Linked DNA regions of Caenorhabditis elegans. The protein of the gene in region 2 binds, or shares a complex with, the protein of the main gene of each other region. Each region holds a gene or a part of one and is shown on either strand. Other genes may lie near its edges.

Evidence for each region. The genes of interacting proteins can lie anywhere in the genome.
Region 1: pid-1 (region 2) and tofu-6 share a complex: the UniProt entries of both Caenorhabditis elegans proteins name them as parts of the pid-1 variant of the PETISCO complex.

Annotation. Positions count from the first base shown.
Region 1 is NC_003280.10:5,419,258-5,423,287, reverse strand, and holds tofu-6 (Embryonic developmental protein tofu-6), read right to left. Parts: upstream 2,041-4,030; 5' UTR 2,010-2,040; coding exon 1,843-2,009; intron 1,799-1,842; coding exon 1,708-1,798; intron 1,661-1,707; coding exon 1,520-1,660; intron 1,477-1,519; coding exon 1,153-1,476; intron 1,104-1,152; coding exon 932-1,103; intron 887-931; coding exon 771-886; intron 717-770; coding exon 624-716; 3' UTR 551-623; downstream 1-550. Other genes in the region: F07F6.7 (Apolipoprotein L, 1), read left to right, coding at 1-128, 177-272, 320-445; EEED8.15 (PHR domain-containing protein), read right to left, coding at 2,399-2,863, 3,355-3,417, 3,466-4,014. UniProt on the Caenorhabditis elegans protein: Component of the pid-1 and tost-1 variants of the PETISCO complexes, which have roles in the biogenesis of a class of 21 nucleotide PIWI-interacting RNAs (piRNAs) that possess a uracil residue at the 5'-end (also called 21U-RNAs) and embryogenesis, respectively.
Region 2 is NC_003280.10:7,689,179-7,692,484, forward strand, and holds pid-1 (Protein pid-1), read right to left. Parts: upstream 1,379-3,306; 5' UTR 1,326-1,378; coding exon 1,272-1,325; intron 1,222-1,271; coding exon 1,111-1,221; intron 1,065-1,110; coding exon 952-1,064; intron 907-951; coding exon 840-906; intron 793-839; coding exon 628-792; 3' UTR 512-627; downstream 1-511. Other genes in the region: F18A1.1 (Receptor L-domain domain-containing protein), read left to right, coding at 1-511; nhx-2 (Na(+)/H(+) exchanger protein 2), read right to left, coding at 1,642-1,870, 1,918-2,027, 2,075-2,242, 2,286-2,375, 2,550-2,693, 2,745-3,018, 3,246-3,306. UniProt on the Caenorhabditis elegans protein: Component of the pid-1 variant of the PETISCO complex which is required for the biogenesis of a class of 21 nucleotide PIWI-interacting RNAs (piRNAs) that possess a uracil residue at the 5'-end (also called 21U-RNAs).

The DNA.
Region 1 (4,030 bases), 2.3 Mb from region 2:
TGGAGGACAAGCAATCGTCAAAGATTTTCAAAAACTTCGACGATGTCCAGTCTCATTTGAAAACACTTTTTGGTGTTTCTCTCGCCGGAATCACAGGATTCGGAATTAAAATGGCCGCATCTTCCATGGTAGAATAGTTGTTTTTTTGAAATTTAAATTTTTACCTTCGTTTTTAGGGCCATCTCACGAATGCACTTATGAAAGGAATGCTGCAGAGCGTTGCAGCCATCGGAATCGTTCTGGACGGTGTTACCCTGGCCATGAGCGCTAATGTAACCGCGAACAATGTTATCAAAATATAATATTAATTTCATTTCAGACGCTTAAAAACGGATCTTCCTCTGAATTGGCAGGAAAAATTCGTGAAGCTTCCGGCAAGATGGAAAGGATGCGACACAATGTTGTAACCAACTTCTTGAATTACGACGCCTGGAACAGCGATTAGTTTTCACTTTTCAAAGTTTCTTGATTTTTTTCTTGTTGATTTTCTTTTCTTTTTGTTGTTTTCTCGTTGTTATTTTTCTTGTTGTTGTTCTTATAAAATCTGACACTGAATTAAAATGTTCATTTTTTTGACAACATCATAGATTCAATGTAATTTCGACAAAAAAAATGGGACAGATTTACAGCTCGAGCTCACGGAGCATGTTCTTCACTCCATCAATCTTCTTGAGTAGATCTTTGACGACATCAGCATCGTTCGAAATTTGAGCAGTCTGAAAATAAAGCCAAATTAAAACTGAAAATCCCTTTAAATCATCAAATCTCACCACTCCAGAATTATTGTGCTGAAGAAGAGTCTCGCGGGAGTATGCATAGTGTGGCTGCTGACTGCGTGGCAAGTATTCACAGACACCTTTACGTTGAAGACGGTCAGCAAGAATCGCTGTAAAAATTATTATGAGGGGAATTTTCAAAAGAAAAAACGCACATTTTCCACAGAACAGATTGATCATGTTAATAGAGCCTTGAAATCCACAAGCCATGGCGTGAAGCGTCGAATTTTCCATTTGTCCCCATTTTTTAACAACCTCGCGAATATTATCAAATGATGGAATGGCGACTGGTGACCAGGTAAGACCATCTAGTCCACACAAGGAAACCTGAAAATAAATAGAAAAAATATGTTAAACATTTGAATGGAACTCTTACCCTTGTCGGCATCGACTGGAAAACTTTTGGCAATTGGAAGCATTTTGCCTTCTCATAATTGATAATTTTTCCAAAATCAACGAGATAAAGCTTGGTGGCTGAGATGCGTCGAACGCGTCGAACGGAACGGGGAGCATCACGGAAGACTCCATCGTAGCCAATTTCGAGCTCCGAATCGAATGGAACAATTTGAGCATACGCGTTCATTTTCTCGTGCATTGAATCATATTTTTCTTTCATTGACGAATCATTTATGCGGAGAAGAGTCAACGCGAAAAGATCTGGAGCCACTGATGAGGATGGAAGATAGTCGACAACTTCGACCTAAATTGAAAATTTAATATAAGCTGAAGGAAAAGTAAGAAACCTCGATATCCTTGTTGAGTGGAAGCCAGGATGATGATAGAAGAACTGGTCCGCTTTTCGATGGTGGAGATGATACAAGCTTCTGAACGGAATTGGAAGCCATTGGGAGAAGAGATCCTCCGACGTTCTTATGATCGGTAACCTTAAAATTACAGTTTTAATTTGAATTTATATATTCGCAACGCTCACCTTCAACGTGAAATTTTCGCCGATCAGATTTCCGTCGTTCAAATTCTTGCGAACTTCATCAGCATCTGCTACCGACATCATGTTCACAAATCTGAAGATTTTAAATGAATCGTTTCTAGAGTCTCACTATCTTACCCCAATTGAACTTGACCATCGTTGGATTGTCCAACAACACGGCAATAACTGACTTTTCCAAAGTTTTGGAAGACATGGAACAAGTTCCAATCATTCCAAGCTTTCGGAATATTGCGAATATGGAATCCGGCGTCTTTCAGATAATATGCGGTCGAGCTGGAAGCCATCTCTAAAAAATGTAATTCTGAAACTGAAAATATTCTTGCTTTAATTTTAAAAAAATGCTTGAAATGCAAAAAAAGCGAGCAAAAATGAAATCTCCCATTTTTCGCGCGTATTCCAGCGGTGTGCAATAGAGCGCACTTGTTTAAAAAAAACTACAGTACCCTTGAAATCATTATTTACAGGCACAGAATTTCGAAAAGATTCATTATTTCCCACGGAGAACGATTAAAATGATTAAAAATTGCTTTAAAAAATTTTGAAAGACAAATGGACGGAGAAAATTAAAAATTATTGAATAAAATAGCGAATTAATTAATGCTGTGAATTTGAGAATCATTAAGATGATATTTCGTTGCGAGACCAAGTTGTGTGGATTGAAGAAAGCAGGTGATCACCAAAATTTGAGATAGAGTCCTCCGACGTTTGCAATTGAGTACAAGATATCTGATTTTCCCTGAACTCGTTCAAAAATGCGTATAGTCCTTTCGCCGGAATTGTTTGTGTGCACATTGTACAATTTTCCATCTTTAATGTATCTCTCCTTTCTTACACAAGAAGTTCCATCTTTATTCTTCCAAATTGTTATCATTTTATTTCTATAAATGAAGGTTGATACAACAATTCCACCGGTTATCTCATGAGTTCCAAGTTTCAAACAGCCACTGTTAAACGTTTTACAAAAAACTTGATTGTGAGATTTCAGATAAGTACCATCGAAGTTGTATACGGTGTAAGCAGCAAGAGTTTTCAGACGATTTGGGAACGATACTCCACGGGTTTTGAGTGTTTCATTATACTTATTGATCTCGGAGAGCCGCCAAGCACCGCAGATTCCAGTTGCAATCGGAGTGTAACGCTGGAAATTAAAACAAATTTTTGATGGAATATATATTGATAGGGAGGAGTTTTAGGAAAGCTACTCCCGAATTGTAATCCAAAATGAGACTGATTTTTCACAAAATCTTTTGTTTAAAGCCTATGATTTTTTTAAATTATTATGTAGATATTTCCAACTGAGAATGCCTATTACGCAACATATTTAACGCTCAAAATATCTCGAAGAGAAATCCACAGTAATATGTAAATGACTACTGTAACCCCAAATCTTTCAGTTTAGTTCGAATTGAAAAAGTTACTGTAGGTTTCGCTACGAGATATTTGCGCAGAAAATATGTTGCGAAAATTAAAATCCATTTAGTTTCAGGAGTTTTTTGGTTCAAAGTAGCTCTACATTATTCAAATTGCACTGGAGTTCACTTCCAAATGTAAAAAATTGAGAGTTGGCAGGCATGTACGCCTGCCTGCCACCGATGCCATGGATGCCTTAAGTTCCTTCCAAAAATTTACCTGTAATTCCTTCTGTCTCTCCCTTTCGTCAATCTCGTCGAACTTCAGTTTGAGAAGTCTTATCTAGAAAAAAACATTTTCAACTAATTTTATCCCTACAAAAAACTATACCGTTGAATTTTGTTTCACTTCCGTTTCTTTCATCTCTTCGATTTCAGATCGTAATTGGCGAATTTCAGACAAAAGTTCTGATTTTTCAATTTCGTTGGGTTCACCCACGAGAGGTTCCAATGCCCCAAGTGGATCACTGTAACGAATTTCAGTGGTCTCTGATATTTGTTGATCCTTAACGGCTTCAGCGATTTTTTCAATAAGATCATCAACTTTTGCAGTAAATCCCACATTGTTTCCAATCCCGAATTCATCGGTGTTGGACACTTCACGAGATATAGTTTCCGATTTTTCAGATTCTTCAGTATCATCATTCTGAATAACTTCTTGGGAAGTGTTAACTCCCGCTTCATCAGAAGATTCTTCTTTTACAGATACTGCTTCTTCGTCAGAAGAAACATCTCCATTGATGCTAAGGATATCTAAAGCATCTTGAACTTCCTTCGACCTCTGTTCCATTTTCAATGCCATCTTTGCCACTTGAGATTCGCCATCTTCCTTCACAAATTCAAAACTCGAATCACTGGATGATCGGCTATGCGAAGACATTGGTTAAGGAGACGAA
Region 2 (3,306 bases):
ACTGACTGGTTTAGGAGAAACAAAATGGAAAGGAAGAACGAAGAACATGGCACTTGAGGCAAGAAAAGCTGATGAACGAGAATTGGAGTATTTTGAAGCAGTTCATAAAGCGATCAAAGAAATAATTGACGATGCAGAAGGTGACGAAGAAGATCGAATTCTGATGATTTTGGAAATAATGGAGAAAAGGAAAATTATTGAGCCGAACGAAATTATCACGGACACGAACAAATTCGAAGAGCTTCTGGTTCAACTGGAAAATCATTTGAGTGAACGTGAAAAGGAGAAGTGGATTGCCTGGGCTAAAAGGAAACAACAATTACGAGAGACGGCGATCACGACATATGGAAAAGGAAAAAGCTTTAACATCTACGATAAGCCAGTTAATCTAGAAGAAGATTATAGACTGAATGCTGGTGTTGATAACTCGGAAATGTTTGTGAAAGTGAAAATAGAAACGATGAACTGGAGGTCTTCGGATGAGAGTGGAACTGAAGATCGAGAACTTTAACTTTATGTCGTTATTTTTAAAATGTAATTTATAAAATTTTTGAATTCAACGAAACATCATTTTTATAAACTCAAAACAAGATGAAACAGTAAAAACAGTAAATTAACAGTGAAAACTTATGCAATATTCGAAGGAATGTCGTCGAAAATGGATCTGGCTGGCTTGTGATTGGCCGATACTGGGGTGTGCTTCTGGGGGGTAATTCTTGGACTTCCAGAAAAGGTGAACTGGTTGCTGGTATTCTGAATCGCTGGAGAGAGGAATCCACGTCCAGCTGGCAACTGAAAATGATATAATTTTATGCGTGAATTTAATATTTATTTCTTACCGGATTAGATAGGCTCAATCCGGCTGAAAGTGGTGAGCCAGTTCCATAATCATTCTTCTTTTCTTTTCTGAAAATTAAAACATTTGTTATAATATGTGGGTACTTCACAAACCTATAGATAAAATGAAACTCGTCGCAGTCATTATGTTTTTCGATGATTGTTCTCGGCTTTGCTTTCATTTCGTATCCAAGGGCTGCCAACTCGAAACGATCGCTCAACGTCACCTAAAATTAAAAAAAGCTTTCGTCATCAACATTAATAGATTATTACTTTTCTGTGAAGATTTGTATTGTAGTTGAACCGTTCAGCGCATTTGTGTGCGATATTTGTGTCTTTTTCAATATCCGAGTCGGTTTTTAACGAATTCTGATCGATTCTTTTCTGAAAAAAAGTTTTATTGTTATTAATTCTGAAAAAATGATAAAACTCACTTTAAATGGTGTGGATGCCAAAGTAATATGCGAAAACTCCCTTTTAGCCGACATAATTGGAAAATTCGAATGTCAGCCGAAGAAATTGTGTGCAATAATTTTAACACCGTTACTGTAAGTTTTAAAGACACATGTCCATTTTGAAGGCATGGGTCTCGAAGCGAAAAAACTTGTTACGGTAGCGCGCAATTAAAAAACTTGTAAAAATCTTTTTTTTTAGCTTGTTAATTAACGTTAACAAAATATATGAGAATATAGATGCAGAAAAAAAAGAAATTTCATTCGATGAATGTACATTATTGAGAAAACACAGTCTACCTATTTGAGACTAGTTTAAAACAGAAAGAAATTGTAAATTAAGGTAAAAAACCTATACTCTTTCGTGGAAGCTTCCTGATTCGTCCGATTCATACCCATCGTTTTCAAATCCATCATTGTCGTTGATTTCGCTCCGAACCGAATATTCAACTTCAGTTGTTTCTTGGAATAAATGAGTTGGTGTCATAGGTACAGTACTATGATCATCATAGACTGTTACTCCAAAATTCTCTTTCATGTGTTTGGTGAAATCTATTTTACTAGTCGAACTTACTCCATCGCTGAAAGTATTTGGAATAATTGATTTCAGAAGTTTGAAGAAACTTACATCATTGTATTTGTTCGACTTCTTGTATGTTCAATAAGAGCTTTTGTAAATACCATATTACTATTTAAATCTCCACGTGCAATCTTCTTTGCATCTTCATCAACCAAATGCTGTAAATTAATTATGAATAACAATATCATTAAGCGTATTACCATACCTTGTACTTTCTGACCAATTTAGTCTTATCCATCTCCTTCATATTGTTCTTATTAACTAAAATTGGTCTCAAATAATTATTGTTGAGTGCATTCCACGAATCACGAATCCAATGATGCCCCTTGAAACCGGCAATGTCTTCCATTCCAGCCATAGTCGTGTCGATAAGCTATAATTTTCATTTCACTGGAATTTTGGTTCTGAAAACTCACTTCGCTGTAAATATGCTCAATCATGTTCTTTGAGTGAACATTCTTTTTCTCAACTTGTAGGAATTCGGCAATTGGTTTCAGTGTAATTCCCTGAAAATGTTAAAAATCTATTTTAGAAGTATTGGAAATAATCCAGATTTTTTTTCAAAATTTAACTAGGCACATTAGAAGGCTATGTAAATGAAATGCTGAAAAGTAATAGTAAGGTATGTTTTTTAAAAACATCACGGGTATAAAATATAGCTAGATTGTTTAAAAAGATACCTGGAGGAATACAGTGAAGTAGATGACAATGATACAACTGGTGACAAACATATTCTTTCCGGGTATAAAATCTGGAATTGCAACGACAAGACCGTATGCAATGGCACCACGAAGACCTCCATAAGCCATGATAAATTGGTCTACCTGTATGAAACATATACTTTTTTTTATCAAATAACACAAATTAATTCTCACCTTTGTGTACTTATTCAGACGATACTTATTCAAGAAATAGCACATAACAACAACTCCAAGGGTACGGTAGATCAAGCAGAAAACTACAGTAAGAACGATGAAAGATGTGTCCCAGTGATGGTTTGAGGATACTGTTGAGAGTCCCAAAAAGACAAAGATAACTGTTTCCGATGCAAGAGAAAGCACTTTGATGAATGATTCTGTGGCTTTTACCGTGTCTGGGTCCACATTTTCACGGCAGTACTGACGCATGGCAGCACCACAAAATACAATTCTGCAAAAATTTTATTGAAAATTAGTTCTAGTTATATTTTGTTTCAGTTTTACAGCTCTGGAAGAGAATTACGGTTTTTGCCAAAACTTTTCATATTAGTATCTTCAATCTCTAGACCTTAAGTTTACATTTTAAAATTCCGATTTTTAATACAAAATTTAATATGAAAATATGAGTAGGGCTAAAGTTTCAATATAAAAAAGAAATTCTGAAATAAATTAACTTACGCCATAATACTTGAAAGACCGAAAAGTTCTCCACAAAGATAACAAGTGTACGGAAGAATGA